Linked DNA regions of Arabidopsis thaliana. The protein of the gene in region 3 interacts with the protein of the main gene of each other region in a pairwise test. Each region holds a gene or a part of one and is shown on either strand. Other genes may lie near its edges.

Region 1 (9,952 bases), about 23 Mb from region 3:
TGGTTTTGGAACATGTCACAGAGATGATAACAGAATATAACGTTTGTTTTTTGGTAAAAGGTGAAATTAAGAAATATAACGTTTGTTGTAGACGATGATGCTATGTACACATGTTACACTATGACCTAACTTATCTCCACGTCATTACGTTACTAGTCTTCTTCAGTCTAGTGCATTTCTTATTTTCTTTTATTTTTTGGCATACAAAAAGACATCCCAAGTCGAAAATGTTCATCGCTGAATATCAAACATCAATTTTCGTATTTATTGCTCACTGATGATTTTACATCGACTATGGTTTTAATCATGATCATCTAAAGGAAACGGGTTTACTCGAGCATAAAATTTGGTCATTTCTCCTTAGGATCCTAGATCTCGATCGATCGTGGAATAGGTGCACTAATATTTTTTTAATAAAACTAATGACAAAAATGATTAAATGAAAGAAATTAAAGTAACTTTTAAAGTTTCTTGAACATGAGTCAGACCCAATTGGCTAAAGGTTGGTTCATTTCTTGTAGTTAAAGAAAAATCGTGCTTGTTGAGATTAAACACCCTTTGTCCTTTCTACATATACGACTACTTTTATACCTTTTGCTCACACTATTTTTATGAAGATAACATAATATACATTAAATATCTACGGACTCTACAAATAGAGATGCGTTAACATGCAAATTCTCTATAAAATATGTGCATGCTTTATACCAAACACATAATAGTTATAAATATGTTGAGCTGAGAGATATGGACAAAACCACTTGAGTTTCAGGTTTAGCCTTAAAAGGTTTTAAAAACCAAGGAGCCGTAACGAAGTGTCTAAAAACCCTATCTGATTTTTGAATAAGACAGATCAAAAACGTAGTTGGAAGCGTAATTAATTAGAAACCGATTGTAAATTTGAATCTCTAAGAGTTCAATTCAACATCTATGTATACATGCAGTTTATTCGAGTTTGGTCTAGTGATTTTATTTGGGCTGCGGAAAACTTTTGCCAAAATACGCATCACAATTTATAAAACATGTGCATGCTTATTCGAATAAAGAAAGTAACCTACATGACCCCCAAAAATTCAGGGAATGTTCCAATAAATCTTGATGATTCTTCTTGATAAAATTGTAGTATATTTTAGTACTAGAAAACTAGGCACCCATTTTTAAAACCTGGCCAGAATAGATGCTCATGGATAGCTAGGCCTACTCATGGAGAAACAAATTATAAGATTGTGGAATAGTAGTATTGAACTATCTTGTAATTTTCCATGTGATAAAATACCTAACTGTATTTCTAAATGGGTGTAGTTTTTGTGATTCATGCATGAATCGACTTATCTATCGGATGCTTATAGTATATATATTCCGCACGCTATATCTGACGTTTTACTTTTAAAGTTATACAACTCTATTTAATAATCCACCAAGTACATACATTCCTTAAACCAGAATATATATATGTACATACAATTCATCATTTCATTTGTTTTGTTTTTAATTAAGACTCTCAGAATTTAACTCTTGAGTATTACAACACGGTCATGCTTGTTGTTGAAATTTTCTTTTATATATAATTTTGGTAAAAGAAATTAATATACAATATTTTTGTTGACGATACTAACAAACAAAATTAGACCCCAGTCAAGTTTATAGTCTAATTAATAATGAAATTGAATAAGTTTCTTATCGTGCCAATACTTAAATTTAACACATACGTAATTAAATACAGTATCTGCACTATAAGAAAAAACAACAATTAAAAACAGTATTCACGGCCTAAACCAATCGTTTAAAGATTTGTCTTCTTTGGGGACAAAGAAAAAGAGAGAGAGAGGGTGGTGGCTTCGTGCGACCCAATAACTAACTAACAACAACACTACGGCAAAGAAATGAAGCACTCACATGTCTTAATCTTTTACACGATTGCTTTAATTATGATTTATTAACTTATTAAACAGCTCATCTTATATGAGTATAATAACAAATAAGGAAGCTCTCGTCAGCAAATAGAAATTGTGAGGTCCACATTCGACCATATATTTTAGTGTATAAACTTCGAAACCTAACCTACTCGCACAAACCTCTAGTGCTCTAACCTACCCATATTTTTCCTTTTTAGTTAATTGTGCATACTTTTTGGGTTCACCGTTCATTTTAATAGAAAAATAATTACATTTTTGTCTTAAGATTGATTTGTTTCTATATGATTATTCACCTGCTTGCTTACAGATTACTATTAAAAATTCTATTTTACATTTGTATATGTAAGATGTGATTATTTTTATTTTGTCGGCGTAAAGAAGTGATTTAAGATTTGTGTGTTAAAAATGAAGACGAATGAAAGAGTCCTGTTTTATCTGCTATTTTGATCTGGTTTCTCGTTTATAATATTTTTAAATCAGAATAAATAGTTACAAAAACAAAAACAAATTGTGTCTTTATTATAAAGTTATGTTTTAAACTTAAAATAAAAATTTCTTTTGATAAGTGGACAAAATTTTAAAACTTGTTTTTTTTCTACCAAATGAATTAAGGTTTTCAGTGGCGGTGTCTTTATAAAAAAAAACTTTATCTTATTTTCTTTTTAGTCTACAGTCTTTACCTTTTTTTATTATATGAGTTTTGTATTATTTTAAGTTTGAATGGTGACAATAAAACTTTATTCAAAATTTACGCATAACCATATCAAACTATCAAACTATGTTTTATAAACCATTAAACATATAGAATATAGGATAAGTTAGGTATAAAAACAAATTTTGGATCAAAATAAATCCTCTGATAATCTTATTATGTTCAAGAATTACAACGACTGCGGTTAGACCTATAAAGTCCATTAATCTTTTTTCATGTCGAGTGACCCATCACTAGAAAGGCTTGAAATGGGCCTATGTGTAATCAACCCTTATGTAATTTCTTTTTTTTATAGGAATCAAGGGAAAATAAAATTTCTTTTTTTATAACATAACACGACGTTCTTACAGAAATTTGTCCCTTTTGAAAGATCTTATTTTCATAACACAATCGCCTGGTATGTTATGTAGGATTGTGCAGATACATTAGATATTTTCCTCTAATTAGTAAAATAGACATGTCATATCCATTAATATAATTTTTCATGTCCAGTAGACCAATGACAATAACTATAGACGGTAGAAATGGGCCTAGGTGCAATCGAAACCCTTCTTCTTTAGGAATCCGAAATAAACCGGACGAAACACAATCAGACAAGATCTGGTTTCTGTAAACACATCAGAATTGGGACGGATAAAGTGGAATAGCCATATAGATTGAAAGAATGTGCTTAAGACTACTAGACCAGCTTCAAAGACGATAAAATCTCAGCAAGTCTGAAGAGCAGAAGCATAATTTGATCTAGGAGCAGTTAAACACCTCTCATGTCATTGTTTTATTAACAAGTAGGTTGCCTGAATCACCGCTCCCATTACGAATCATATCATAATCATTCATAAAATCAAATAAAAACAAGCAGAGATTAAAACATGTGAGAACTATCTCAGCGTCCAATATCGAGGGAATCGATTTCGGACAGAACTGAGATAGATCTCCGATTGTGGTCTTTTTTATTTAGGGCGCTGCATTCATCTCTATGGCATCGTTATTTTGCTAAAGAGTCAAACTCCAGTCCCGATTGACATTAAAAAAACCACCAAAACACATAAACCATAAAAACAAATCGCAAGAAAAAAAATTAGCACAGAGATCTATCGAACTATATAGATTGATAATAAGCTTTGAGTGGCCGATTCTCGGATAACTTGATTAGGGTTCAAAGTTAGACGCAGCTATTTAAAGAGGAAACGGATGGAGCTCGTTAGGTCAAAAAGCTGGCAGAATTTTAGTGGACTTTATTTGGGCTTTAGTATAACAGGGCTTATTGGGCCCAAATGAAAACTCTTTTTAACATTTCTGCTCTCTCTATTTTGCATGTTTTATTAATGAGTCGGATTAGAAACCGAGGGGTCAGTCGAGGAGACTAATTGGTAAACATCAATGAGTTCTTTTTACACCTTTGATTTTCCCATTTATCTATCTCCTTATGAAATATCATACTCATCACAAGAGAATAAGAAGAACCGGAAAATATTATCATCATTAAAAAACATTGCAATTTTGAAGCTCCCCTACAGACATCTTCCTCCATAACCTGCGTTTCTGATTAGTGCTTGTTTAGTAGCTTCCGAAGTAACCATGTATCTCTGCTCACCAACCTACATATATACGAAAAAAACAGAATATAACAGAAAATAATTATAGAATATACATTTAATTTGTCGATGCACCAAGTAAGGCTAAATCAAAGTGTAATAATATTTGTACCTCAAAACAAGAAGCCTGCAATGAGAAGTCACTGAAGCAGCTAATGACACATTGTTCAATCTCTAATCCTAGAGTCTCCAATGTACTAACCGTTGATACAACCAAACCCGGTTTCGTAGGACAACATATATCAATATGCGTATTAACTTCCCTTTGATCTACTTCAAACTGCAAAAGATTCGTTTTCGTTATAGCCAGAAAAATTGTCTGCACCTTCAAGTGATTATAATTTTTTGAGTGATATCTAATGGGAATCAAATTGATTCAAGTATATGATGAGGGTGTTTGTAACAAATGATTTGTAATGGGATGAATTTGTAAAAACACAAGACTTATGAGTACTGAAGCACAAATACCATAATAACATTATGTTTTGTTTTTAGCTTTTACCTTTAGGGAGTTTCTGACCATAGATTCGTTTGTAATGAGGGTGCTTAGATGAGAGTTGCTTCCAAGTTCTTGTTCGTCTTCTTGCAACTTGTTAATCTTGTCCAAAAGCTCCTTCATGTAATCTATTGCATCTCCTAGTATCGATGTCCTATCCATCTGATTTTATTATATAATAATCATCAAAAATTATATACATTTTCTCATACAACAAACTCTATGCAGATTCACAAAAAGCAATAACCTTTTATCAGTGAACAGTGTACCAAAAAAAAGATTTCAACAAGAAGAAAACATACATGTAACGTTAAGAACTTAACAAAAAAGGAAGAATATTTCTTCTTGACTTAAAAATAAAAACCATATAACATGTGACAAGGATGAGGTTTATGGAATTTGACCTTGGTGATTTTAGGGACAATGGATCGGAGCAGGGAGAGTCGGTCATTTAACCGTTTCCTCCGCCGTCTCTCCGCCATAAGATTCTTCGAAGGCTGACCTTCAAGCTTCTTGTTACTCCTTTTCTTGTTAGTCTCTCCGATGCTTATGAAGCTCTTGCTTTCCTCCATCAATGGTGAGTAATTGTTGGTGTTCTCTTGCGAAGCCGGAAGGATCAATGGAGGAGGAGAATAAGAGGAGTGTATGATATCCTCGAGAAAAGGATAGTCGAAAGCGGAGGAGAGCGGCGGAGAATCATAAAGAGGTGACGACGGTTGTGGTGGTTGATGAAGCAATGGAGGTGGCTGAGAAATTAGATTCATCAAAGAAGAAGAAGAAGGATGATCAATGTTGTCGTCTTCTTGGAGAAGATTGTTGAAACAGAGGTAATCGAAGTTCCAATCATTTGGGACGAATTGGTCAATCGCCATGAATCCTCCATTAACGCCGTTGAGATTGTTGCTTTCTTGTTTTCTCAATTGCGTCAATTCCGTTTCCATCTCTCTTTCTCTCTATTTTCTGAAACTCTGTTATTTGTGAAAGTGGAAGTGAACAGAGTTTGTGAGCTTGGGGTCAAAGAAGATACAAATGCATGTAAATGCATTACATAAGTGTGAATTGTAATGAAGAATTCACTTTTTAACTGATTAGAATTACTTTATTCCATTTGACATATGTATATTTATGACTTGTTTGTTACATAAAAAGTGGATTTTAATAGTTAAAAATATATATACAAATAAGTAGTTTTGTCTAGTTGTTTAAGGAGAGATCCACTAGAAAACATTACAATTTAGTGTGTTTGTTTTTGATCCATGGTCCAGCACCAACCTATGAGGCATAAGCTGAGATTGATGAAATTTTTTTTTTACTTAATATCGTTTTCTTTTGTGTTGTTGTCTGAATCGTATTATTATTGATGGTTCGTTTTCAGTGACGATATTAAGTAATTTATACGTTCTCTTTGATCGGAAAAATGATCTGACCCACAAAGTATGTCCCGGCCAAAATGAATGAACATCATCATCTAGCTCTCTTCCTTAGTCAACTTATGTATATGATACGAATGGTATTTAATATTAGAAATATCAAATATGAATAATCAGATGCTTACAAAAGTAAGAGATAATGGTCTAGATTTCGAGATTGAGAAGCTGCCATCATATTTGCTTTTTTATTATTATTATTGGATAGGCTTTTGGCACTGAACGTTAATAACATGGAAAAATCTTGAATAGATATATATTATTGTGAGTTTTTGCCATTTCAAAAGTACTCGTATCCGACGATATCGATCAATTACGGGAAAAAATAAACACCCGTGTCTCTTCTAATAGACATAATTCCGCAAATTATTACATTGTGGTGTATCAGTGTATGATTGTATTAATATGGAAAAAGAAAAGACTGACAGGTCAAAGAGATCGAAGAAGGCTTAAGTCAAAGAAATTTGTTTCTTATATCAGAAGCGAGTTGCGTGAGAGTTTGTGGACACACACTGTCTCCTACTCTATCTTCACTCCATTATTTACTACTCAATCGGATATCATTATTGTCTGCATTATATAAGTTGCTTTTCTTTGACAATTCATTGTTTTCATTTCTCAACATTTAAATTGAAAATTAACAAAATTTCATATATTTAAATTTCTAAACTAATCATTCTTGGATACCCATTGACTTTTTTTAAAAAGTATGTGTTTATCCTAATAATTGTTGGTTTAACTAAAACCAGGGATCAACAGTTGGGTTGACAAAGGTTTAGTAAATAAAATAAAGTAACAACCATAAGAAAAAAATGACACAATTTTCAAGGTGAATGCATGCAAGCAGAAGCAGGGATAAGAAAAGATGAAACACGTGAATAAGCTTCAGCCATTATGTGCTATGTGACCATGACTAAGCCACTATGGATGCATATTTGAAAATTTTGGGGTTGTTAGTTAAGTTTCAATATTGGGTTTTGAGTTTTCGGTTCATTTATTTTAGAGAGTTTTACACCAAAGTAAATAATTCTGACTTTTAATATAACTACAATACATAAAATTTGGTGGTTTTAAAATTTTTGTTATTTACAATTAATATTTTTAAATCCTTGTGAATAAAAAATTTATATACAATTTTAAAATACTATCATTTTTAATTTTTTTAAAATAAAATTTAATGTTTTCTTTTGTCAACTAGCTAGAGACACTTGAAACCCACCCATTTGTAAAAGTAAAATTATTCAAGCATTAGTCTACAAAAATTGTAGACCTTGATTAGATAAAGCCCCAATTCATAAATGTTCACTGATCTTAATTAATTACTATAAATCGATTAGATAAAGGCCCATAATGATTTGGCCCCTCTACCGTCCGTCAAATGACAAGTAACAAGAAACAGCAGTGAACCAACCGGTCCAACTGTTAATTTAGATTTTACCGGTCTATTTAGTTCGGTTTAAAACTATACCTTTTAGTTTCCTTTTTCACTCTTCTCTACAGATTTATTTTCCTCCAAAATATGAATCTTCAGTTGACTCTAATCTCCTTACTCTTCTTCACTTCCGCCATAGCTGAAACCTTCAAAAACCTCGATTCTCATCCACAGTTCCCTTGTAAACCTCCTCATTTTAGCTCTTATCCCTTCTGCAATGTCTCTTTATCCATAAAACAACGAGCAATTTCTCTCGTCTCCCTCCTCATGCTCCCAGAGAAGATAGGTCAGCTCTCAAACACAGCTGCTTCAGTACCCCGTCTCGGTATTCCTCCGTACGAGTGGTGGTCGGAGTCTTTACACGGACTCGCCGATAACGGTCCCGGAGTTTCCTTCAACGGTTCGATCTCCGCCGCTACTAGTTTTCCTCAGGTAATCGTATCTGCTGCATCTTTCAATAGAACGCTATGGTACGAGATTGGATCTGCTGTTGCGGTGGAAGGTCGGGCTATGTACAACGGTGGTCAAGCTGGGTTGACGTTTTGGGCTCCGAATATAAATGTGTTTAGGGATCCGAGATGGGGAAGAGGACAGGAGACTCCTGGTGAGGATCCGAAGGTAGTTTCCGAGTATGGAGTTGAGTTCGTTAGAGGGTTTCAAGAGAAGAAGAAAAGGAAGGTTTTGAAAAGAAGATTTAGTGATGATGTTGATGATGATCGTCATGATGATGATGCTGATGGGAAGCTCATGTTATCTGCTTGTTGTAAGCATTTCACTGCCTATGATTTGGAAAAATGGGGGAATTTCACTAGATACGACTTCAATGCTGTGGTAAGACTAAGAACTCTTTTCTTCACTATGTGTAGCTTGTGTATCAACTTCAATTGGATTTTAATTGAGAACTCTCAGGTTTAGTGGATCAGGTTTGACCTAAAATAGAATTAAATCTATAGACTTTATTGAATGCACCTTTCTTTGGTGTTCATGAAACAGAATTTAACTAGTTATATTGCTTCTGGCTTTTGCATTATCTCCATGGTTCTGTGTCGAACACTGAGTCTAGCTTACTCTGTATTAGTAGGTCACAGAACAGGACATGGAAGACACATATCAGCCCCCATTTGAGACTTGTATAAGAGATGGTAAAGCTAGCTGCTTGATGTGTTCATATAATGCAGTTAATGGGGTCCCTGCTTGTGCGCAAGGAGACTTATTACAAAAAGCTCGAGTTGAGTGGGGATTTGAAGGGTAAGTGAATCTTCAACAGGGAAGGAGAGAAAAACCTGATTTTTGTTTGTGATGCTTTGGTTCGGCCAATGAAAGATTTACCGGGGAGTCTTTTTCTTGTATCTGTGCAGGTACATTACATCAGACTGTGATGCTGTGGCAACTATTTTTGCGTACCAAGGATATACCAAGTCACCTGAGGAAGCTGTTGCTGATGCCATAAAAGCAGGTCCTTTTGAGTTCTTTTAACACTTGTTAACTTGTAAATAGGTTGTCTTAAAATGAAATCTGAGATTGTGAATTCATAGGGGTGGATATAAATTGTGGAACATACATGCTTCGGCACACACAATCTGCGATTGAGCAGGGGAAGGTGAGCGAAGAACTAGTAGACCGAGCTCTGCTAAATCTCTTTGCTGTTCAACTTCGTCTTGGACTTTTTGATGGTGATCCAAGAAGAGGACAGTACGGAAAGTTAGGATCAAATGACATTTGTAGCTCAGACCACAGAAAATTGGCACTGGAAGCAACAAGACAGGGTATCGTGCTCCTGAAAAATGATCACAAGTTGTTGCCTTTGAACAAAAACCATGTTTCTTCATTAGCAATCGTTGGTCCAATGGCGAATAATATAAGCAATATGGGCGGTACTTATACAGGTTCGGACTATCTATCTTCTTGTTATTTTCAAGCAGGCTAAATTTTTCTCCTCGCTGAAACAGTTTATAAATGTCATATTTGTAAAGGAAAGCCGTGTCAACGAAAGACTTTGTTCACGGAACTTCTGGAGTATGTGAAGAAGACATCTTATGCGTCTGGTTGCTCAGACGTGTCTTGTGATTCTGATACCGGATTTGGAGAAGCTGTGGCCATCGCCAAGGGAGCGGATTTTGTCATAGTAGTTGCAGGATTAGATCTCTCTCAAGAAACCGAGGATAAGGATCGAGTTAGTCTTTCTTTGCCTGGTAAACAGAAAGATCTTGTGTCTCATGTTGCTGCTGTGAGCAAAAAACCGGTGATTCTTGTTCTAACCGGTGGAGGACCAGTGGATGTAACGTTTGCTAAAAATGACCCGAGAATCGGAAGCATTATCTGGATTGGTTATCCAGGTGAAACTGGTGGACAAGCACTCGCTGAAATCATATTT
Region 2 (12,291 bases), on a different chromosome or scaffold from region 3:
AATTTCAGAGTCTTGAGTATCCATTTCTAGTGGACCCACATGAAACCTGTGTGTAACCAAATGTTGACTCCTTTCTGCTGCTTCCATTTTTCTGAAAACAACCATTCTCACATTCCTAGACATAGTAGGGCTCTGTAGTATCTTATGGTCCCTTCTATACTTAAACATCCAAGACTTTGGAGCTAGTCTTTGCTTCGGTTTATGAGACTCGTCACATGTTAACTGCTCACACAACTCAGCCACGTCCGAGTGGAAATCATTAGAGATTAGACGCAAAGCTTCTGTCACGATAGGTTGTTGATCCTCAATGACCATATGCATATCAAAATCCTCTAACACTTGATGATGATGGCTAGTTTCCATGACAAAAATTGAGACCTGATGTTGTGTAACACCAGCCGTCCTCATCTTTGAGTCAGTTAACTCCGCTTCAAGTTCGGACATTGAATCATTGTCCAAAAACGATTTTGTAGCACAAACCGATTCAAGATGCGGCAACAGTTTCCGGACAACAACATAAGAATCTCCCTGATCCGCTTGTGTCTCTTTAATGCGTCTTAAATCCTGTTGCTGCAACAAGCTCTCCACTTCAACACACATCTCTTGCTTAATTGACTTTTTTCCCGCAAAAGAGTCTTTATCCCTATGTGATGATTCTTTCACCTGATGTGAAACTAACTGCAATTTCATAGGCTTGTTCTTCCTCCAACCCACTTTTCTGCTCCAAGTGTGGAACCAACCCTTATTGTCTCGTTTCCTTATTGTTTTCTTAGCAAGTTTGAATTTGAACATCCATGATTTGAATCCTTTCGCTTTCTTCTTTATTTCCAGCTTTTCTTCATGTTGAGACGTTTTACCGAACACTTGGTGTGCACTGCAATTTTCTGTAATACTCAACAATTTCTGACCCCTATCAACATCATCTTCAACCTCAAACCTCTTATTCATGTTCTGTTTAACCCAATCTTGCTCCTGATACTCGTTCATCACCACAGAATCAAGATTTTCCAACCCGAAATTTACTTCCCTAGGTTCAACACTTTTCAGAATCTCAGAATTGGAGTGCTCCTCTCGTTCCTCCATGATAGTTCTCTGTACTAAATCTTTGTGATTATCCAACTTGGAGTGCTCCTCTCGTTCCTCATGTACCAAATTCATTGAACGATGATCAATTGATTCACCAATTCCACCATTAGAGAGATGATCGTCATTACCATAGATCATAAGAAGCCCTAAGTTCTTGTGTTTCAGGTGGTGATCAGGAGCTTCTGGCTCTTTGCAAAACACACATAAGCCATTCAACCAGCTCTCGTTTATCTCTTCCCACGATATGCGCCGACGACTCTTCATCGTGCAAGTAGCTTTGATCTCCACCGAGGACACGATTGGCTCTGATACCAGTGATAACGGAAAACAGAGTAACGAAATAGAATGCTTCGATTAATGAAAATGACAGATTGATACAACGTTCATGAAACGCGATATCAACTTCTCATCTACAAGAGTTCAACATGAAACTCCGGCGAACGATGAGGAACGATTCTCAGAGAGAATCCAAAAGGAAACTATAAACAACAAATCCAAAATCTTCTTATCTTCTGCAAATGATCTTCATTAGCTATATATCTCTGCATCTCGATTCTTCCTCTAACACTCCCATCGACCAATCTTCTCTTGCCACGTCTCACAGCTACTGTCTCCACTCATGTATTCCACGTATCTAACCATATATCAATGCCTAGTTTCCTATATCATTAATCTATGAACGAGTAACTGCGCAAGCGTGTTCAATATGTCAAACAAAATTATGTTATATTAGAAGTTTAAGTTATGCGGAATGTGATTTTTCTTTATGCTTTCGTTGTGCCACTCTTCCTTACAAAGTTAAGCATGACGATGATGACCATATTCTCACCCTTTGTTATGAGAAAAATGCAAGTGGTCTACTGGTCTTTATTGGTGCCAAGTTTGTGAGAAAACAACAGATCCGAAGAAAAGGCTACTATGCATGCTATGAGTGTGGAGTCACATTCCATATTAAATGTATACTAGGAAAGGATCCCTACATAAAATCAAGAACAATTATCGAAGACTGTGTCCATACGGTTGAGTATTCCTAACAATCGTCTCAGTCGACCTATTTGCAACAAATGCCAACGATGGTGTCGATACAAGATAGTATTCAAAACATCTGATGGAAATATGATTTGTTCGGCCATGGAGGTTGATGATTTAAGGGTTTATGTTAAAAACGTAGATATCACAAAGCTAACACAGAGATATGACAAATGGTTCTACGTACATTACAAACAACACAATTTATTGAAATTCACATGACATTCATATATTATAGTACATAGAGGATTTGTATTCGTATACAAGACAGGATTTGGATTATTAATTAAAGAGACATGAACACACACACACAAAAGCTTAATCAAAGACAAGTATAGGAGATGAAGATTGAAATGTTTCAAAGAGAAGAAGTGAAGCTATAAGAAGAATAAGACAAGGTACCAAGTTGCCAACTTGTATGGATTTGCTCTGCCTTTGCATCTCCACCTGCTGCACCCATCACAACATGTAACGGATACAAATGCTCGGGCCACGGATGCGCCATTTTCGCATTCGGAGCTTTCTCTTCCCACTCATTCACATCTCCATACCTAAAAAAACACATGAAACAAATCAATGATCTTATCATATAACCAAGCAGCAAAAAGGTTAAAACTTTCTAACCTTCCTTGAAGTAGAGAATCTCTAAGCCAATGATCAAACTCCAAGGCCCAAGGAACGGGTGAGCCATCAGTGATATTAAAGTCAAGCTTCCTCAAGTTATGAGTAGCACTTCCAGAGCCAATGATAAGAACACCTTCATCTTTCAATGAAGCCAATGCTTTACCCATGTTGTAATGATAACTCCCATTTTGATTTGATTGAACAGAGAGTTGACAAATGGGTATATCAGCTTCTGGATACATCAACATAAGAGGAACCCAAGCTCCATGATCAAGTCCTCTCTTTGTATCTTCATCAACACGTTTCATTCCTCCTTCTTTCATTAACAACTCTTTAACCCTTTTCCCTAATTCAATTGCTCCTGGTGCTTCATATTTCAACTACAGACAAAAATATCAAATCAAACCCAAGAGAGATGATTTAAACATTTAAAAATCAAAACTTTATGCATCCTTCAACGATCTAAGAGCCCTAAAAATCTGTTGAGACAAAAAGTTATATTTTTTTTGGTTTTACCTTGTACATAGGATCAGGGAAGCCAGAGAAATCGTGGATCGTGTTATTGCGAAGAACAGTGTTGACAGATGGGAATTTGGTGTCCCAATGAGCAGAGATGACTAAAATCGATTTGGGTTTTTGAGGAAGAACTTTTTGAGTCCATGATTTGAAGAATTGTCTCGCTTCCAAGGAATCATCTATGCTCAAAGTTGGAGATCCATGAGATAAGAAGAAGGTTTGATTCACTTTCTCCATTGAAAATTGAAATCTCTCGAGATCTTTGCCTCTCTTTTTTTTTTTTTGCAAATGTTTCTTTTGACCAACTCTATTAGTTTTGGTTCTTCCCCAGTTTTGATGTTGTCTGAATAAAGAAACCTTTTCTGTTTGTTTGTTTTGTCAAAAGGGACACACCTACATACGACAACGACCAGGGAATGTGTATTTAACCAAATTAACCACATTTAATCTAAAAATAACTTTTTGTTTCTACTAAATAAGTTGAAACCTGTTTTAACAATTTTGATTTAATGTGATCTCAAAATTACTTGTTTGACTAATACACAGAGGATAGATTTCTATGTGTTTAGATAAAGATGTTGTTACAAGTGCATCTATTAAATCTCAAGACATTCAATCAGATAACACAATATTTCATCCCACATTAATACATCATAAGGCAATCCCATAATATACAGAAACCAATTTAAGAAAAGATTACATCTTGTCATTGCAACTCAGCTCCATGAAAGATCTTGTGTTTTTCTCATGTTTGGAACAGCTTCTTGCAAATGTTTCCTGAGACAAAACTTCTCTCCAAAGTAATCAAAACGTGTTGCTACTATAGCTGCCTTGATGAACTACCAGGTAATTGGGCAGAACTCAAATGCTCTTCCTGGAATAACGAAAAGATTTAACGATATCAACACGTGTGGTTCGAGTACAAAATGATACTAAAGTAAAGACTTTATCCAGGCAGCTGAGACCTGTAAAGTGTAAGTGAAATTGGGAGGAGGTCTGAAATCGATTTGACCCTGGACCGGACAATAAACAAAAGATGTTAACAACACGATCATTCATAACACAGTTTTTAAAATCAGTTTGAAGGATTTTATAATGTACCACCATCCCAGACATGGCTTGCTGATTCGTGAAGAAGCTATCCTGCGCCGGTGCTATCGAATTCAGTTGTCCCTGAAGAGTCAAAAGAACCAAAATTCATGTCGTTGACTTATACTCTAGCACAGATTTGGGAGATTCAAGCATTTAAACTATATGTAACCTACCAGGCCTTGGATGGTTCGTTGATCTACATAGTAGCCTTCATGAGGTGGCTCCATTAAATTTAACTATATCCACAGTTTAAACAGGTTTAGTATTAGGGTTTATAATAGATGTCGAATGGCTTAACCAGGTTTGTATTAATCAACTAACATAGCATACCAGTCCTTGAACGTTCTGTTGAGGACCATAGTAACCATTCATGTCCATCGCCTCTGAACTTATAGTTTCCTGCACAAAATGTTAAAACTATAAGGCCATATATCCAAGACATCCTACTCTTAATCTCATAAAGCAATGTGCAGTTACAATGATCAAACTAATTAGAGAAGATCAAATCAAAGCACAAACCATTGGTTGCAAGCTCTGTTGAGATTCAAGCATTTGGCTAGCCTCTTGTTGTCCCTGCATAAGATCAATTTGAGTATCTTCTTTTTAACCTTTGAAGCTAAGAAAATGTACGTAGGTTTAGATTGGCGAGAAGCTTCAGTAAAAGCATACCTTTCTTTTCCTATATACAGTCTTCTTTTTTGTTGCTTTTACCCCAGCCATTACCTGGTTTTCTTCTTCGTGAGTACCATTATTAAGCTGGCTATTAGACTCAGTGATGTTGTTTCTAGCATTATTCATATCAACACAATTTTTCAGGGTCTCGACTAGTGTGCGCAATGCGATGTTGTAGTTTTCTTCTGACACACAACCTTCCTCACTCAATTCAGTGGCTCGACTACACAAATCGTTATAGCGCTGAACTCGGGTCTGTATCTGGTCTGCTCCTTCACCAGCTAATACTCCACTCTTAGCATCTTTTGTCCACCTTTTCAATATATACTGAGGCGGGATGCTGGCGAAACCACACATCTGCAGAATCATCAAAGCATGCCGACAAAGAAACCCTTTGTATTCAAACATACGACAGAAGCAGCAAAGTTCTGACTTAGTTTTGCTCCACGTTACAAGAAAGTCATCGTCTTTTTCACAGTCTTGAACTCTAAACGTCGCCATATTTTCATCTTCTTTTTCCTTTCTAGGATGGCAAGCGACAACCCCCAAGACCTCGACTTGAAATTTCTTAAATATTGTGTGGGTGTAAGTTGTTGCCATTTGCTTCTCCCAGGGCGAGGGGGACTTCAATGCAGGTTGCTTGTGGCAAGTATCGAAATCTGCAACAGATTCCTCTTCGTACCTATTCTGCAGAATCACACCGTATTGCCTCAAGAACTCTTTCAGCGTGATTTTCTTATGGATGTACTTATCGAAGAAAGAGTTCACACTTTCTGAACGTTGAGATGTCGACATGCCTGCCAGAAACACATCGCTCATAAATGTGGGCACCCACTTTTGGCGATGTTCATGCAACCATAGCAGCCATTCATCATTCTCAAGTCCAAACTGGCTGACCATTTTCCACCACCTCATATCAAACTCATCATCTGTCCAAGATCTGAAAATGCATTTGTTGAATTTCAGTAAGAAATTCTCGTGCCGTTTCATCACATGTGAGAAATATTCAGGAATCTTTTCTAAAACATGCCATAACGCAAAGCAATGACGAGTGTTTGGTAGGAGCTCTGAAACAGCAGACATCAAGAATTTATCTTGGTCAGTGAGTATAACTTTAGGAGCTCGACCACCCATTGCTCGTAGCCATGTTTTTATCAGCCACACAAAAGTCTCCATAGACTCATCAGCAACCAATGCACAGCCTAGTAACATAGGTTGGGAGTGATGGTTCACCCCAATAAATAAAGCTAGTGGCAACTTATCGTTAAACTTGACATAAGTAGTATCAAAGGATACAACATCATTGAAACTCAAATAGTCATCTCTGCTCTTGGCATCAGCCCAAAACAGATTTCTTAAACGTTGGTCCTCGTTCAGGTCTATAGCATAAAAGAATTTAGGGTTTTCTTTCTTGATACGCTTGAAGTACTCAAGCAGTACTTGAGAATCTCCTTCTTCCAAAGCTAGATACCTACCCTTATCAACCTGACTGCTGACATCGGTCTGAAGAAGAGACCCGATATTCTTATATCCGCCAGATTGTCTCGACATTTCAACATACATTTTTTTGGTCCGTTCACTAACCGCATGCAGAATGTCGATATTATTCTTCTCAGCTAACTTGACATTCCTCTGAATCCGGAAATGATAAGCAAGGGCAGGTAAAAGTTCGTGATTGTGATCCTTTACAAACTCATGAATGATCCATTTCCCATCTGGTCTTCTCTTCACATGCATACTAGCCTTGCAATCTGTTTTTTTCACAGTTGACCTTCGACTACTACTACCACTACTCTCAGACTCAGGAGTCACACCATATCTGGAACAAGCAAACTTAGCATCAATGAAGTCTTTAGTTTTCTTGGAACGTCTACTGTTTTTAATCGACGTAGTAAAACCCATAGATTTTGCATATTCCTGATAAAAGATATACGCTGCCTCATGGGTATCAAAGTCTATACCATTTCGTGGCTCAAGATCCAGATCACCACTAAATCCAACATCTCCACCTATATTGAACTCATCAACAATTCCTATATCTCTGTTACTATGCGGTTCAACTACAATGTCAACCATATGGTCATCCCCTGCATCACTAACCAGATTCTCTTGCAAATCCATCCTAACCTTAGCCACATATGGATTCACTAACACACTCAAAAGCAACTACCCCACTATGGGCTTCCATGAAATTGGAAACTGAAATCTTTCTACTAGATAATCCACCTTAGCACCTGAAAAATGTCACAACCAAACTTCATAAGAACCAGCGCGACATCTTCTACCTAAAAACATCAAACTTGAAACACACAAAGCAATATGAAATCAATGGAATCAAATGAAAGTGAAGAACTTTCAACAACATAACTTCTAATAGTAGAAAAGTTCTGTTTCTAAAGCCAAAAAAGAGTAAAATTTCACACAAATAAGAGAAGGAGACCTGAGAACTCAAACTAAGAGAGTCAGAGACAACATACTTCTAGTAGTAGAAAAGTTCTGGTTCTAAAATTTCAGTGAAAGAACTGAACTTTCATTAGTATCAGCATAAAAGACAGAGACTTTAATGTATCTTAAGAGAAAACCTGAGAATTCAAATGAAGAGACTACAAAATTCAGGAAATGTCAAACTTTTGGATTGGTGAGGGCTTTTTACTGTATTTTCTCGGCCACCCAGAGAGAGACAAAGGGAGGGAAGGCAAAATTCTGACGTGAAAAGAGCAAAGCAAAGAAGAACACGAAGCAGGCGAGTGGGGAAGCAAAAGCGAGTGAGGAACCAAGGAGCGTGAGAGGAGAAAATCTAGGGTTCTTTTTGGGAATTTTTAGGGATCTTGGATTATGTTTTTATTTTTATTTTTTTCATTTGTTGTAAATCTCTTACTAGCCTTTACTAATTAAACATAAAGGCTTTTTGATTGGTAACACGTGTAATGACATAATGACGTTTGTTTTCGACGCGATTTTTTTTCATAATCGCGTCTATATTTACGTTTGGCGTGTGAGAAGCATTGCTGATTTATGTATTCTTAGAAAAATTGATTATTTTAAAAGCATCAGCATTGTGATTTTTTACCAAAATCTCTCGCCTACATTAATAATAATAAAATAATAAACAATATTTTTTTAATTAAAACAATTTCTAAGAAAATATGAGAAAGTTTTTAATTTAAAAGATTTGAAAAAACTATTTTAAAAAACTCTTCAAATTAAATATTTTTTTTATTATTATTACTTTAGTAAATTAAAAACTTTGGTTAGAAACCACCACTACACATGTTCTAAAAGATTTTAATTTTAACTGTATGATAATCTTCTTTTCATACAGTTTACTATAATTTTTCCACATTTTTCAAAAGAGTTATGTAGTAAACTAAATTTATCATAACTTTTAATATGATTTTTACATCTATTTTTATGATTTTTACATAACTATTAATATCTACAGTTTTTTTTTTATTATAAGTTCAAATAAAACAAAAAATACAAGAATATTAAAATAAATAACATTAAATCTATTTTTGTACATATGAGATACATGCTTATTCTTATTATGACAAATCAAGTATACTTTTTTTTTTAATCTTTACCGTCATTTTTTCTATATATATGTGGGTATCTCATATTCTATATGTAATATGCTAATCAATTACATGATGTTGATGGCTTTCACATCAAAACAGAGCTGACATTTGCCACCAAATATAAATAAAACTGTAGGGCAAATTGTACGAGAGTTGTGCTCTGAGTCACTTGCTTTTAGATTTAGTTATGGAGTTACAAATGCAGGGTTTGCATCTTATCTTTTAATATTTTTTTTCTTTTCTACTCACATATCTTTTTTTTTATGTGGAGTGGAAGATAATTGTTTTTAATTCATTTAATATTTTTTGATTTAATTCCTTTTTAAACAGCAAAATCTTTTAATATTTGATTTAATTTGGCTAAATTCTTCTAAAAATCTGAAATTTAGACATTAAATAACTTTCTAATATATATATATTTAAGTATTACTGAGAACTTTTTAATATTATATAAAAATTATATTATTTAATTAATACTTTAAGCTACCATATTATCATTAATAATGGTTATATAATTTAAAAATAATTAAAATTTGCTACGGAAAAAAAGAAAATATCAAAGAGGTGAAATAGACACGTAAGCTAAAAATCCAGCGTTGGTACTAATAGTAACCAGTAACCACTTTCATTTGTCCGTCTCGCTCTTTTAGCCTGTCAACGCTTTTCTATTTTGTCTTTTTTCTTTCTTCTAAAAATTCTCTCTTTTATTCCTTCTTCCATTTCTCTCTCTCTTCTTCCTTCTCCAGTTACTTTGGTCTCCGCCATGGCTACACAGTAAGCTTTTTCTTCGCTATTCGACTCTAAATTTGCTAACTTTGAATTCGCTTAGGTCATCTCTAATTTCACATTCGTTATTTTTCTTTTATTTTCAATTTAATATATTACAGGAGTTTACTTTCCTCTTTCGTCACTTGACTATGACTGACCTACCATAGTTAGTTAGATAGGGAGAGATACGAAGACCAAGAAGATATTTTCTCAGCTTGGTTTCTCTTATATCCTTCTGGGTTTCGCAAAACTGCAAGCAAAATTGTCTCTTTTTACGATTTGCGGCGGCGTTAGGGTTTCGTTTAGATTTTGTGATTCGTGAGTGTGTTCAAGCTTTGGGAGGAAGCAAAAATGGTGAGGAAACATGGTTGGCAACTTCCTGCTCACAAATTTCAGGTCTTTTATTTCAACCTTTCTCTGATTTTCTCCAATTTCTAACATTTGGGTTTTAGTTCATTTGTTTCGTTTGGTCATGAAACAGGTGGTTGCGATTACGGTGTTCTGCTTATTGAGTGTAGCATACTATGCGTTTTTCGCTCCTTTTGTTGGAGGACGCATCTGGGAGTATATTCTTCTCGGTGTTTACTCTCCTGTGGTATGTACTAGAATCGCTTTAGAGAATGATAAGGAATTGATAAGAGCTAGGTAGGTACATGGTAGTTTTGCATATCTGATACCCTTTTGCTTCTTGTGTCATGTGTTTGTTTTGCAGGCTCTTATTGTTTTCGTTCTTTATGTTCGTTGTACTGCAATCAATCCTGCTGATCCAGGAATCATGTCGAAATTCGAAAGAGGTGCGAGTAGAGGTGGTGACTTACCTACTGCCAAAGATATCTCGAGAAAATTTGATGAAACGGGCAGCCACCTGCAGTCTTCCCCTTCGGTTGCTTCCAGGACTTCTACTTTACCAAACTCTAGTGTGAAAGGTTCTGTTGGAGATGCTCAAAGAGTGGAAGCTGCTAAAAGAAAATCTTGCTTTAATCCGTTGGCAATATGCTGTGGCGTGTTTGTTTATGAAGATTGTCGTAGCAAAGAAGAGACGGATGAGCAGCAAGGGGATAGGGAAGAAGCTCTGTTTTGCACGTTGTGCAATGCTGAGGTAATGTGTTAATATTGGTTTATGCTTGAAGAGTAAGAAGCAACTACTAAATCCTTTGTTCACCTTGGTTTTGTGACAGGTCCGTAAGTTTAGCAAGCATTGTCGAAGTTGCGACAAATGTGTAGATTGTTTCGATCATCATTGCCGGGTAAATTTCTTACTGTTATGATAATTAACTGTTTCTTGGAGTTGATTGACTAGAGTTTTATGGGTGTGATCAAATGACATAGCTGTATTTAAATGCAACAGTGGCTTAACAATTGTGTTGGTCGCAAGAATTATATGACTTTTATATCGCTGATGGCTGTCAGTCTTCTCTGGGTACGTATATTCTCCTGATATGCCTTTTCTCAAGCTCACTTTTTGCTTACCAGTAATCAATAAATCTTTCTCTTTCTCAGCTCCTTATAGAAGCAGGAGTTGGAATTGCAGTTATAGTGCGTGTATTTGTTAATAAGAAGGACATGGAAACAGAAATCGTCAATAGACTTGGAAATGGATTTTCTCGGGCACCTTTTGCCACAGTTGTTGTAAGTATTCTTAGTGTAAGGGTGAGCATCTATTGTTGATTTTCCTGAATCCTGATGTTTTCTTACAATTTATGCAGGGTCTCTGTACTGCTGTTTCCATGCTGGCATTGTTTCCATTAGGTGAACTTTTCTTTTTCCACATGCTCCTCATTAAAAAGGTGAGTATGGAAGAAGTCAATATGCTTTTATATGTTTGTAATGTATTCGCTTTACTGGTACTAAGACGGTATACAAAACATTCATTGTTATTTTAATCTTATAGTCAACATTATTCCCAAAATAATTGAGTAGCACATGAAAACGCATGCTCTTTGTGAGAATAGAATTTGGTTTCCCTTCATGAATCATGATTGAGACCATATGTTACATTCGTCTAAACCGTCTCACTGCTTAGAGGATGTTGTATATAATAAATGTCCTCTACTTCGTTTGTAATTGGGCTGATCGCATGTTCAAAGCAACGTGAACTCATTTTTTTTCCTGTTTAACACTAATAGGGCATTACAACTTATGAATATGTTGTGGCAATGAGAGCAATGAGCGAGGCACCAGCTGGAGCTTCGATTGATGAGGAAATTCCTAACGTGCTGTATTCTCCCTCTGGATCTGCCACGACCGGCTTTAGTGGTGGAAGCTCCCTCGGTCTACCATACAAAGGAGCATGGTGCACTCCTCCTAGAGTGTTTGTTGATTATCAGGTATTATTTGCTTTCCATGAACCCTAAATAGAACAATTTTCGTAGAGCTTCCACTGGGTCTCTGTTTAGTTATTGATATGTCCGCTTGATACTTGTTATCTATGTTACAGGACGAAGTGATTCCTCATTTGGATCCTCGGATGGTTCCATCAACCGTAGATCCAGATGCAGCTGAAACAGCAGAGAGGGGCAACAAGATTCCAAAGAGACCTGTCAAAATTAGTGCTTGGAAGCTTGCAAAACTGAATTCAAATGAAGCTACAAGAGCAGCAGCCAGAGCCAGAGCATCCTCATCTGTCCTAAGACCAATAGAAAATCGTCATTTACATGATGATGAACTTAGTTCCAGAAGTGGCACCATCAGTGTTGTAAGCAGTGTAAGCACAGAAGCAAATGGAGCTACGCTGAGTAGAGAGATAAGAAACAATGATCCAATGTTGTCTCATTGTAGAAACTCTTATGCTCCAAGCCAAGGTAGTCGGGACGAGTACGACACAGGGACCCATAGTATGAGCAGTCTCAGCAGTCCAAGTCATGTTCATGAGACCGTCACACTTAGTCCTCTCCCTCAGCATCATACAGCTGGCCACCGCTTCACT
Region 3 (9,747 bases):
CGCTTGAGTCGCTGCTATCGGCAGGATCGTCTCTGAAGTTTTCCGTGCGTGGAAAAATGCTAAACATTTCGAATGCGAGCTCCGATGTCGGAGCGTCCGTAGGAATATGCGGTGGTGGCGATGGAGAACGGTGGCTTAGCTCTAAGACTTCATTATTAGCCATCACCGATTGATTTGCTTCCACTGCTTTTAAAGCGCCGTTCTCTTCTATACCTTTAACCCCTTCCACGTTAAGTTTTGCTTTCAGCTCTTTAATCTGCATAAATGTCATGTTTTATAAATATCAATACTCTTTATAATCTACCAAACAAAAGGATTATCTCTGAATTTGTTTAAATTTAGCTATTATTATCCCAAATTATATAATAAATTAATAAACATGAAACTTTTAGTATATTAATCACAAAATTCAAAAAAAAAATCTGTTTGTGTTTGGTTTATCATTTGTAATTAGCTTAAAATGATATTTTTAACAAATGATATTAGCTTAAAATGCATAAGTTTGTGACTTTTTTATACACTAAAGAAAAATCAACGTAATTAAAGGCAATTCAAACACAGACGATCAAAACTTTAGTCTAACGGTCAGAATTCAAATTGTAATTTCAAAATAAACAAATTGAAACGATGTTATTAATGTTCTATACGTTCGTTTATTTGATTGACCGAATCATTGATGGATTTAGTTACAATAATGGCTAAGATGGTTGTTTGGGTGTGCCTAGACGTTTAAATTTATTGACAAAAAAAAAAGTCACAAAGACTATACCTGTCCAAGGAGTGAATCGTTATCGCGTTGAAGCGAGTCGCGGTTGCGTTTGAGTGCATCAAAGTTTGACTTAAGAACGCCGTAATCACGTTCAAGCTGCTTTGTCTTCCACCGAGCACGGCGGTTTTGAAACCAGATCGCGACTTGGCGTGGCTGCAACCCAAGCTCTTGAGCCAGCTTCACTTTCCTCTCTGGCTCTAACTTGTTATCAATCTCGAAATTCTTCTCTAACGCTTTCACTTGCTCTACACCCAACCGCCGTTTTTTCTCCGCCGCCGTAGAAGACGCGTGTCCAACGCCGCCGAGGTCCTCTAGACTTCCGTCGTCTTCTAATGCGTCAAACATCTGGGAGTAGTCTCCGGCGCCGGAATAGAGAAAGCCGGTAGTTGTTGGTCTTGGGCTTATTTGTTTGTCTGTTAAAATCATTAATCAAGGTAGTACATTAAAAATAGTACTACTATATATCTAACCAATCTCATAAAACGGATAGTTTCAATCAAATAATGGAATATTTATGATGTCATGAGTAATCACAAAACCTTGTCAGGATAACGTCTCGATAGTATGAATTGTCAGAAAACATATATTTACTTAAAATGTTAATTAATAAAACACAATCATATAATAAAAAAATTCATTAGTATCTTTCTAATGATCATCAACAAACATAATTGCAGTTTCAGAATTGTATAAGAGTTTATATTACAAGAGTCTTATTTTACCTGTTGTAGAATGGCGAATTGGTAAGAAACCGGATAAAGAATCGGAGCTTCCACGTGATCTCTTCATCTTGTTTGGTCGGAACAATTGAGATCGAAAAGAAGAAGGAAATAAAGTTTATATTGAATGGTTAGATCAAGGCCTAGATGGTTATCGATTAAGATCTATCTACGACCAATACGTGAAGAAACGATCCTCTCTCGTCTCTCATCTTCTTTTTCTCCAAAGAAGGATCTTTGCTCTGTGTCTAGACTATCCATATAAGATGGAAACAGAGAATTGACTAATACTAAGAAATAGTCATCTAATACCAATCAACACCAAGAAAATATGAACTTTTAATTCATCAGGTTTTCTTGGGAAATATTAGTGAGAGATTTCAAAAGTCGTATTATTATTTTCCCCCGAGAAATGGAAATTGGTAAGAGAGAGATAGAGAGGGAGAGAGATAGAGAGGGAGAGAGATGGCTTCTCACCCCAACTCCGGGTTTTAAATAAGACGACAGGATAACCCTAGAGGAAGTGTTGGAGATATCTTGAGTTATTTCAGGAATTTCGGGGGATTTTTTAAACTTTGTAATTAAATGCAAAATAGCTTACAATGGTTAGAGTTAGACACCGGTTTACTCATGAGACTTTGGTCCAGGACGTGAATCATGACAATGCCATGGGTTTTCAGCTCGGCTACTTAGGAGCCGGCATAGATTTTAAAGATTCATTAAATTAGTTCAAAATCATTAGTTTCTACTTTATCATATAAAACACTCGTTGCTTTTTCATATACTACGACATAATTTTGAAAATTAAATTTTTTGAAACATATACTAACAAAATGATCAACTTTTAAATTTAACAGTTGAAAAATCATATAATAATATAAGATGTTCTCATAGTTAGCGTAATGATACAATAGTTAAAGTTAAAATTTGATTCCGAAAAAAATTTGATTCTATAGGATTAATAAAAAAACTTCTGGAGTCCCAAATTATGCAATTGCTACTTCGTTTTCACTTGTATTTTGTTCCTGTTTTTCTTATTGGATTGGTTGATGGCATGGTTAAAAAACAGTAAATTAGAGATTCAGGTCTCTCTACGGACTACAGTAGAGTTGATATTTGGGATATTTTCAATTAAAATGTCATAATCAATCAGTATTAATACACTGGACCAACCTTCGTTTAAATACAATAAATATAGACATGGGTCATGGGTGATATATATTGCAGATACACGCAACGAAATACTATACAAAACAAAAAAAAGTTGCAATAGTAGTCGGTCCAGTAGTTGGCCATGCAAATTGATTTGCTCTAACCGAAAAGATTTTTTAAAATTAGTGTCAATGTGTTTCAGCATTGTTATTAACTTATTACATTCTGATTAAGAAACGCAATGCAAGTCCCTAATACATATTTTTCTTTTTCTAAACGCAAGTTACTTACATATATAGACAGTCGGATTAATACATGTTTTTTGCTTCGTTAGCTGCTGCATGCTGACATATATATACATATAGGTAATAGTTGTACACAAATTTTAGTGTAATTTAATATTATATATGTGAAAAGAGTATGTGGTGTACAAAGGATATTCACACGCTGCAAAATATTTTTAAAATTGGGTAATGGGAAAGGAGACAAAGCTTTGATGAGATAGCTGTCTGTCTGTCTCTGTAACGATCTTGCCCATTTACTACAAAATGTATTATTTTAGTCTGGCAGTAGTATTTTTATAGATATATTGACAATAGATAAGAAACATTAAAAAAAAGTTCAATTACTTTGTAATTCTACAAGTAAATCGACTTTCTTTTTCACAGTTTGAATTACTCACTAACCTTTTTACCAACTGTTTTACTTTGTAGTTAATAACAAAAATTAAAATTATACAAATAATATATACTTTTAAGTGTTTCTGAATCAAACAATACAATTATACAGAGAAAACATCTAACAGTCATTTTGAGAAAATAAAATAAAATATAATATATATATATATATATATTTAATTGACAAAAGAAAGAGCATAAAAGCAAGGTGGGATTAGTAAAGAAAAAAGGTATTTGGAGTTGGGACTTTTTGTTAAATGTGTATATATTAGTAAAGATTAGTCATTTGTATTGTGACAACTAATATGATGATTTCGTATGTACCCATCTAAAATCTTAGAATAGAAAAATATAAACTAAAATAGGTTTGGTGTTTCTTTTAAATTGAGAATTATATAATCTTACAAACAGAGTTTGGTTGATGAGCTGGTTATCCTATGAAAGCAACTAATTCCACTAGATTCTTGATGTTCTTTTTTGTCTTCTAGAAACATTGATCACACGACATGAATGATCAGTTACATAATTTTCGAAAAACCAAAAATCTGAAATTTACCACCCCTTATATAAAATATCTATTTAAATATGTAGCTAAACAGGTAAAAAGGTCACATTACCAAACACCTTTATCCAATGCTTTTTAAAAATCCACCAAATATTATTACTCAAAAACATGTGTCAAATTTAAACCATAATATCACACATCAACAACACTACCATAAACTTTTATCAAACTATTATGCTACATGATTTCTTATGAAATTTTGATTTCAAAATGACATTTACCCCATCCGAATAATGTAAACTAGAGAAATTTTGTAAGTTGGGCCGCTCAATGAAGGCATGCTTTTTCAGATGTTTCGGTCACCGATACTAGCGTTTAATTGTAGACGAGGCTCGTTCGTATTTCGTAATCTACACGAGCTTTCAGTAATCTCGAGGAACAATGATCCGGTTATGCAAAATTGAATCGCATCCGCGTCCGGTTTTACTGATCTAAATACGAGATATGTTTCAAAGGCCCATTTCTTGTAATGAGAAGGCCCATCGTGTGAATCTTATTATATTGCGCTTAAAATTAGCTCTTCCATAATATTAAATATCTGATGTTTCTTGAATATAACCAAATTTTACTAGTGTATAAAAGAATACACAAATATTTTTTTAAAACTCAACTGATTACATATACTCATCAATTCATCATGCTTGTATTTTATATCCTCAATTTAATAGACGTCAACACAATGTTATTAACTCAGTAAACCAACAAAAAAAAAAAAAAAACTAAACAACTTTAATGTTAATTAATTGTATATATGTAAATTACACACATAAGAGATTGTTTATACAATAAAATAGAATTTCAAAGTTAGCTAGTATGTAAACAAAATTCAACGTTCCTTGTGAACTCTTCTAACGACTTCATGCACCGTATTTGCGACCTCATTACCAGAAGGCGTCAATTGACAATCTGCCTCTACCTAATACAGAGACCAATCATTTTGAGCATATATAGTTGACTTTTAAAACAAGAAGCCTTATTTTAGTTATTTCATATAAATTTATGTTAACTAACAACTTCTATAATCATATATATTATCTTTTTCCCCTAAAACAAGAGAGGAAGAGAATAGATTACCTTGACGCTAAAAGTGAAGAGAGACATGTCTTTGGAAGTTGTGAGGTTGAGATGAAGAGTACTTAAACCTAAAGAGTTAAACTCATTGATAATCTTGAAGAGCAATCTTGGCTGTGTCTTCGTTAACACTTTAATGTTGGCATGTCTTTCTACCATTGTAACCTCCACGTCAGCAACCACCTCTAGTCGCTTGTGATGGTGGTGGCTCGAGGAGGATGAGGAGGCAGTGGCGGTGGCAGTGGCAGTGGCGGTGGAGTATTGAGGGAACATGAAGAAGTCGGAAAATATATTTGGTGATTGATTGAGTTTAGTAGCTTTTAATTGGGCTTCGAGAGATTGGAGACGTTGTTCTAGCTTCTTCAGATAGCTAATGGTCCCTTCTATGATTGATGCTTGGTCATTCTATTATAGGAAAAACCCAAAAATTTATCAATTCGCAATTTTATTTAGTAATTGATTCAAAAACAAATATACTAAATTACTATTATTTAATTAACGGCTTACTTTTAATAAGGAACCTTAACACTCTTTGTCTAAACTAAATTTTAACCGAACATATCAAATTATCAACATTGCTTAGCCTGCTTATATCCTATAAGCTAAATTAAAGATAGAAAGAAACTCACAGGTTGAGAATAAGAGAGAGGCATCATAGACTTGAGGATAGACAGAAAATGATTCATCTGTTTTCTCCGGTTACGCTCGACGGCAATGTGATTCATCCTTTGATTCTCTTTATCTACAATCGTTTTTTCACTTCTCCTTCTCCTCTTCCGCGACAGAAAGTCACCGCAACCATATCTTTCTCGTAGAGGAGATAACTTTTCAGTTAAGTGAGATTTTTGCTCTGTTATGGAGCAGGAGAGTGTCGCTGATGAATAAGAAGAGGACGAAATGGAATTTTGCTGTGACGCCACGTCTTCAGAGTTCGAAACGACGATGTTTTGAAAGTAATCCAACATTTCGTAACTTAAGGATGTTTCCACGAGTGAAAAGCCATGAGGGTAATCTTGTTGGAACATCATATATAGCCTCTCTCTCTCTCAACCAAACGAGCACAAAAAGAAATGAAGGAGTTAATGCATAAAAGTTAATGGCTACGTTATCTTTTACACAAAGTAATGTTTATGCGTGTATTTATAATGGGGTCTTGTTGGTTTGTTTTAATTTATTAATCTTTGGAGGACTTTAATAATCAAATTTTCACGACGTTTATGTAAGAAATGAAGCCCTAGCTCTGAAGAGATCAACCATTTGATTAATTTTAACCCGATTTTACGCAATAAATTAAGAAACGAATGCAATAAATTCTTAATACTAAGATCAACAATTAGTTTATAACTTTATATTTTACCCGATTTTACGCTTTATATATCGTCATGAAATCTCTCATGTTTGACTAAGGGGTATTTTTTATACCATGGACTTTTTGCTCAAAACCTCAGTTACAAATAGAAATAAAAACTCTTACAATTGATGGAAAACAATCTATAGGGAGTTTATTTATTTATTGACTGCAATCAAATATACTATCAAATAAAGAAAATTGGATTATGAAATGAATCTAAAGGGATACTTCAGCAACAGATCCCACATAACATAATCCAATAAGAACGTTCAGAGATATACACAACAAATAAGAATGTTAACTTTCATGATCGCAAAACAAATCTTAATACTTTACCATTCAAGTAATATATTTAATGAGGCATAAACAATTTATATTTCTTTGTGATTGCCAATCACAATGTCGTTTTATATGATTGGTACATTTCATCTAACAAAGAAACGAGTCTATTTGTGAGTTGAAAATTCGTGATTTGTGGTTCACTATTGGATCGTCGTTATCAATCTGACATTAATTGTACCCTATTATATATATTGTTGTGTCTATAATAAGGCAAGCTGGTTACTACATTTGTCGACTTCCACATTCCCAATTATTGTGTATTTTCTTGACTAGCTAATACATATATAACAAGAATTAATCTTCCACAATATGAATTGTGATGCGTTTACAGTGGTAATTTTGCAATAAACAGAGTGAGTATATATATACCCTTCGAACATTTAGTTTTAATTATTTGAAGAGTGTTTTTATGTTAGTTATTTTTCACAACATTCTGATTGGAGAAACAATTTATAGATTTTTGAAAACCCTTAATTAACAACTATAACGTAAAAAAAAATTTGAAAAAAAAAGAAAAAAAAAAAGATAGAAGAAACCTAGAAATAAAATGAGTTGAAATCTTTCTTCAATTTTTTGAAAACCCTTAATTAACAATTAAGAGTTTTTTTCTTAGAGACAGATTTTCCTTTTTCCTCCAAGTTTTTGTTGCACAATTAATAATTACACAATCAAATCTATAGTATTTTTTTAATTAGATCTTAATTTTGTACAGCCTAAAATAAAGTACCATCGAGAAACTAATTAAAAGTTTCCTTTTTTTTTGGTCTCTACCATCGAGACATTAATTAAGGAAATCTACATTAGATATTGGAAATCGAATCGAATCGTAGGAGCGTAGATCTTCACGCCTCGCGATTAACAACGACGCGTCGCGTTTGCTTGTTCCCGTAGGCACCAAGGCATCTATATAAACATATTGAGTTCACAATGTTTCACCCTCAATTCGACAATACTTCTTCTTCGTGTGTTCTCTCTCTCGGAAAAAACCCTAGTTTCTTGCCGAATCAAGGCAAAGTCACGATGAAGCAAGCTTCTTCTTCTTCTTCGTCACGTAATTCAACAAGTTTAACAAATAGACTTAAAACCATCTTCAAGAAAGCTGAAGAGCTTTCGATTCTCTGTGCTATTGAGGTTTGCGTCATCTATTACGGACCAGACGGTGAACTGAGAACATGGCCTAAGGAGAGAGAGACAGTGAAAGACATGGCTTTGAGGTATAAAGAGGCCAGAAAACGCAAGAAGAGCCGCAATCTTCATGAGTTCCTCGAGAAGGAGAAGGACAAGGACAAGGGGAAGACGAATTTGAAGAAGAATTGGTATCCAAACTTTGATCATTACTCTCCTCAACAACTCTCTCAATTGATTCAGTCCTTAGAACGGACTCTTTCTACTCTGCAAGAAAGGCTTCGTATTGTTGAGGCGCAGAAACTACAGAACACAAACTTGGTGCATCAGAGTTTAACACCATCGTATCTGAACCAGACCCAACACTTGAATCCTAGCAAGTTCTCGCTGTTTATGTACAACCATGGAGATGCTACTCTCTCACAACTCCCACTGTCTGCTCCACACTCCAATCAACTCATCAATTACCAGAATCACTTGATGCAGCATGGTTTTGGTCAGAACATGTGTTCGGACAACATCACCAACAACAACTTTGAACATCCTGGCGTGTCAAACACACAAGACTACTCACCGTTACTTTCGGTACAAGCATCTGCAGTGAATAACTACGGGTTGAATAATCACTTGATGCAGCAACAGGATCAGCTTCATGGTTTTGATCAGAACATGTGTATGGTGAGTGAAATCATCAACAACAACAACGGTCTACAACATCCTAATCTCTCAAACACGGTTCCACATGAATTCTCTTCTGATTTCAACCAGAACCCTTATGGTAATGCGGTCGGTAACATTAGCTTCTCTCAAGACATGTTTTCAAGCTATGATGCGAGCAGTCTGCTACAGACATCTTCTCTGCCACCTCTCCACAACATTCCTAGCAGTTATTGTTTTCCTGGCAACTCAAGACTTCTCTGATAACAAAATCTGTCCAAAAGAATTTGTTTTTTTGAAGCTTCATTAAGAGTCAGTCAATAGTTAAGTAGCAAGCGGATCGGAGAGAGATTGAAGCTGTTTCTGCTTCCGATTTCTTCTGTTACTGTTTTTTTTAATATTTTATAGTGTCATTATAACTGCAAAACAAATCCATTTGTTTTTTTTTTTTGTTAAGAAAACAAATCCATTTGTGGAGATTTTGTTTTTACTTTTAAGTTGATACTTTTTTCAGTTAGTATTGACATATATATATGAACTTCCATAAAAAATCTTTCACAAAAACTTGCATGAAACAAATTATAATCTTAAAACCTTAATTCTTGCAACTTAGTATCCTTCTTGTCTGAATCAACTAATATATACAAGGAGATGGAGAGTGGATCTGAGTTCGTGAAGCCTCTAGACTTTTTGCAGAAGAAGAATCTCTGTGTAGTTTCTGAGTAATGGTATGAGGAAGAAGATAAAGATTGAGCTGATTGAATATCTGCAATTAAACTAGCCCTTGTGTTTTATCAAGAAAGTCGATATCACATTGCTCCAGCACTCCCCACTATTATCCAATTCTACAACAGCAACAACAATCCCAGCGAGTACCCAACAAACGATACGCAAAACCCACGAACCTTATCGCCGGAAGACCTCCGATTCTGTCGAGAGAGGAACACCACCGCGTAAAATAACCGGGAATTTGGTACGATTTTGTTTTTTATTTGATTTGGTTCGCCACAAGGTTAATTTGGTCTCAAAACTCAATCCTTTCACCAGGTTTTTATGGCCCGGCCCAATATTAATTTTTAAAGTCCATTTATTTGCAATAAGGCCTATTAGTAATACCCAATAAGCCGAAGATGCAGACGAAGACGATCATTATTGAGAGACATGTATGACGCGTTAAATTTACTTCAGTTTGTGTTTTTGAGATTGTGGTTGGTTAATGGTTACTGCTCAAGAACAAGAAACATAACATGGTGTGGTGTCAGATTTATCATTTTATGTTTCCTTCTTGCTACTAAGATTATATTACTTTTTGTTAAAGA

The links.
Region 1: the proteins of AT5G65320 (region 3) and AT5G10570 interact in a two-hybrid assay, tested with the Arabidopsis thaliana proteins (one large-scale study listed by BioGRID).
Region 2: the proteins of AT5G65320 (region 3) and FAR1 interact in a two-hybrid assay, tested with the Arabidopsis thaliana proteins (one large-scale study listed by BioGRID).

Annotation. Positions count from the first base shown.
Region 1 is NC_003076.8:3,337,065-3,347,016, reverse strand, and holds AT5G10570 (basic helix-loop-helix (bHLH) DNA-binding superfamily protein), read right to left. Parts: upstream 5,818-9,952; 5' UTR 5,661-5,817; coding exon 5,124-5,660; intron 4,882-5,123; coding exon 4,726-4,881; intron 4,504-4,725; coding exon 4,336-4,503; intron 4,227-4,335; coding exon 4,140-4,226; 3' UTR 3,938-4,139; downstream 1-3,937. Other genes in the region: AT5G10560 (Glycosyl hydrolase family protein), read left to right, coding at 7,666-8,409, 8,660-8,826, 8,937-9,034, 9,114-9,464, 9,552-9,952.
Region 2 is NC_003075.7:8,609,655-8,621,945, reverse strand, and holds FAR1 (FRS (FAR1 Related Sequences) transcription factor family), read right to left. Parts: upstream 7,887-12,291; 5' UTR 7,673-7,886; exon of another isoform or gene 7,254-7,672; 5' UTR 7,141-7,253; coding exon 5,017-7,140; intron 4,921-5,016; coding exon 4,867-4,920; intron 4,747-4,866; coding exon 4,678-4,746; intron 4,584-4,677; coding exon 4,521-4,583; intron 4,429-4,520; coding exon 4,357-4,428; intron 4,269-4,356; coding exon 4,221-4,268; intron 4,130-4,220; coding exon 4,076-4,129; 3' UTR 3,776-4,075; downstream 1-3,775. Other genes in the region: AT4G15096 (uncharacterized protein), read right to left, coding at 1-1,350; catalytic LigB subunit of aromatic ring-opening dioxygenase family, read right to left, coding at 2,474-2,666, 2,740-3,119, 3,256-3,492; AT4G15080 (DHHC-type zinc finger family protein), read left to right, coding at 9,717-9,761, 9,847-9,960, 10,078-10,464, 10,544-10,612, 10,714-10,785, 10,866-10,994, 11,072-11,152, 11,492-11,692 and 1 more. UniProt on the Arabidopsis thaliana protein: Transcription activator that recognizes and binds to the DNA consensus sequence 5'-CACGCGC-3'. Activates the expression of FHY1 and FHL involved in light responses. Positive regulator of chlorophyll biosynthesis via the activation of HEMB1 gene expression.
Region 3 is NC_003076.8:26,102,660-26,112,406, forward strand, and holds AT5G65320 (basic helix-loop-helix (bHLH) DNA-binding superfamily protein), read right to left. Parts: upstream 6,068-9,747; 5' UTR 5,982-6,067; coding exon 5,583-5,981; intron 5,359-5,582; coding exon 4,957-5,358; coding exon of another isoform or gene 4,927-4,956; exon of another isoform or gene 4,919-4,926; intron 4,799-4,918; coding exon 4,709-4,798; 3' UTR 4,510-4,708; downstream 1-4,509. Other genes in the region: HB5 (homeobox protein 5), read right to left, coding at 1-256, 770-1,182, 1,492-1,558; AGL78 (AGAMOUS-like 78), read left to right, coding at 7,667-8,692.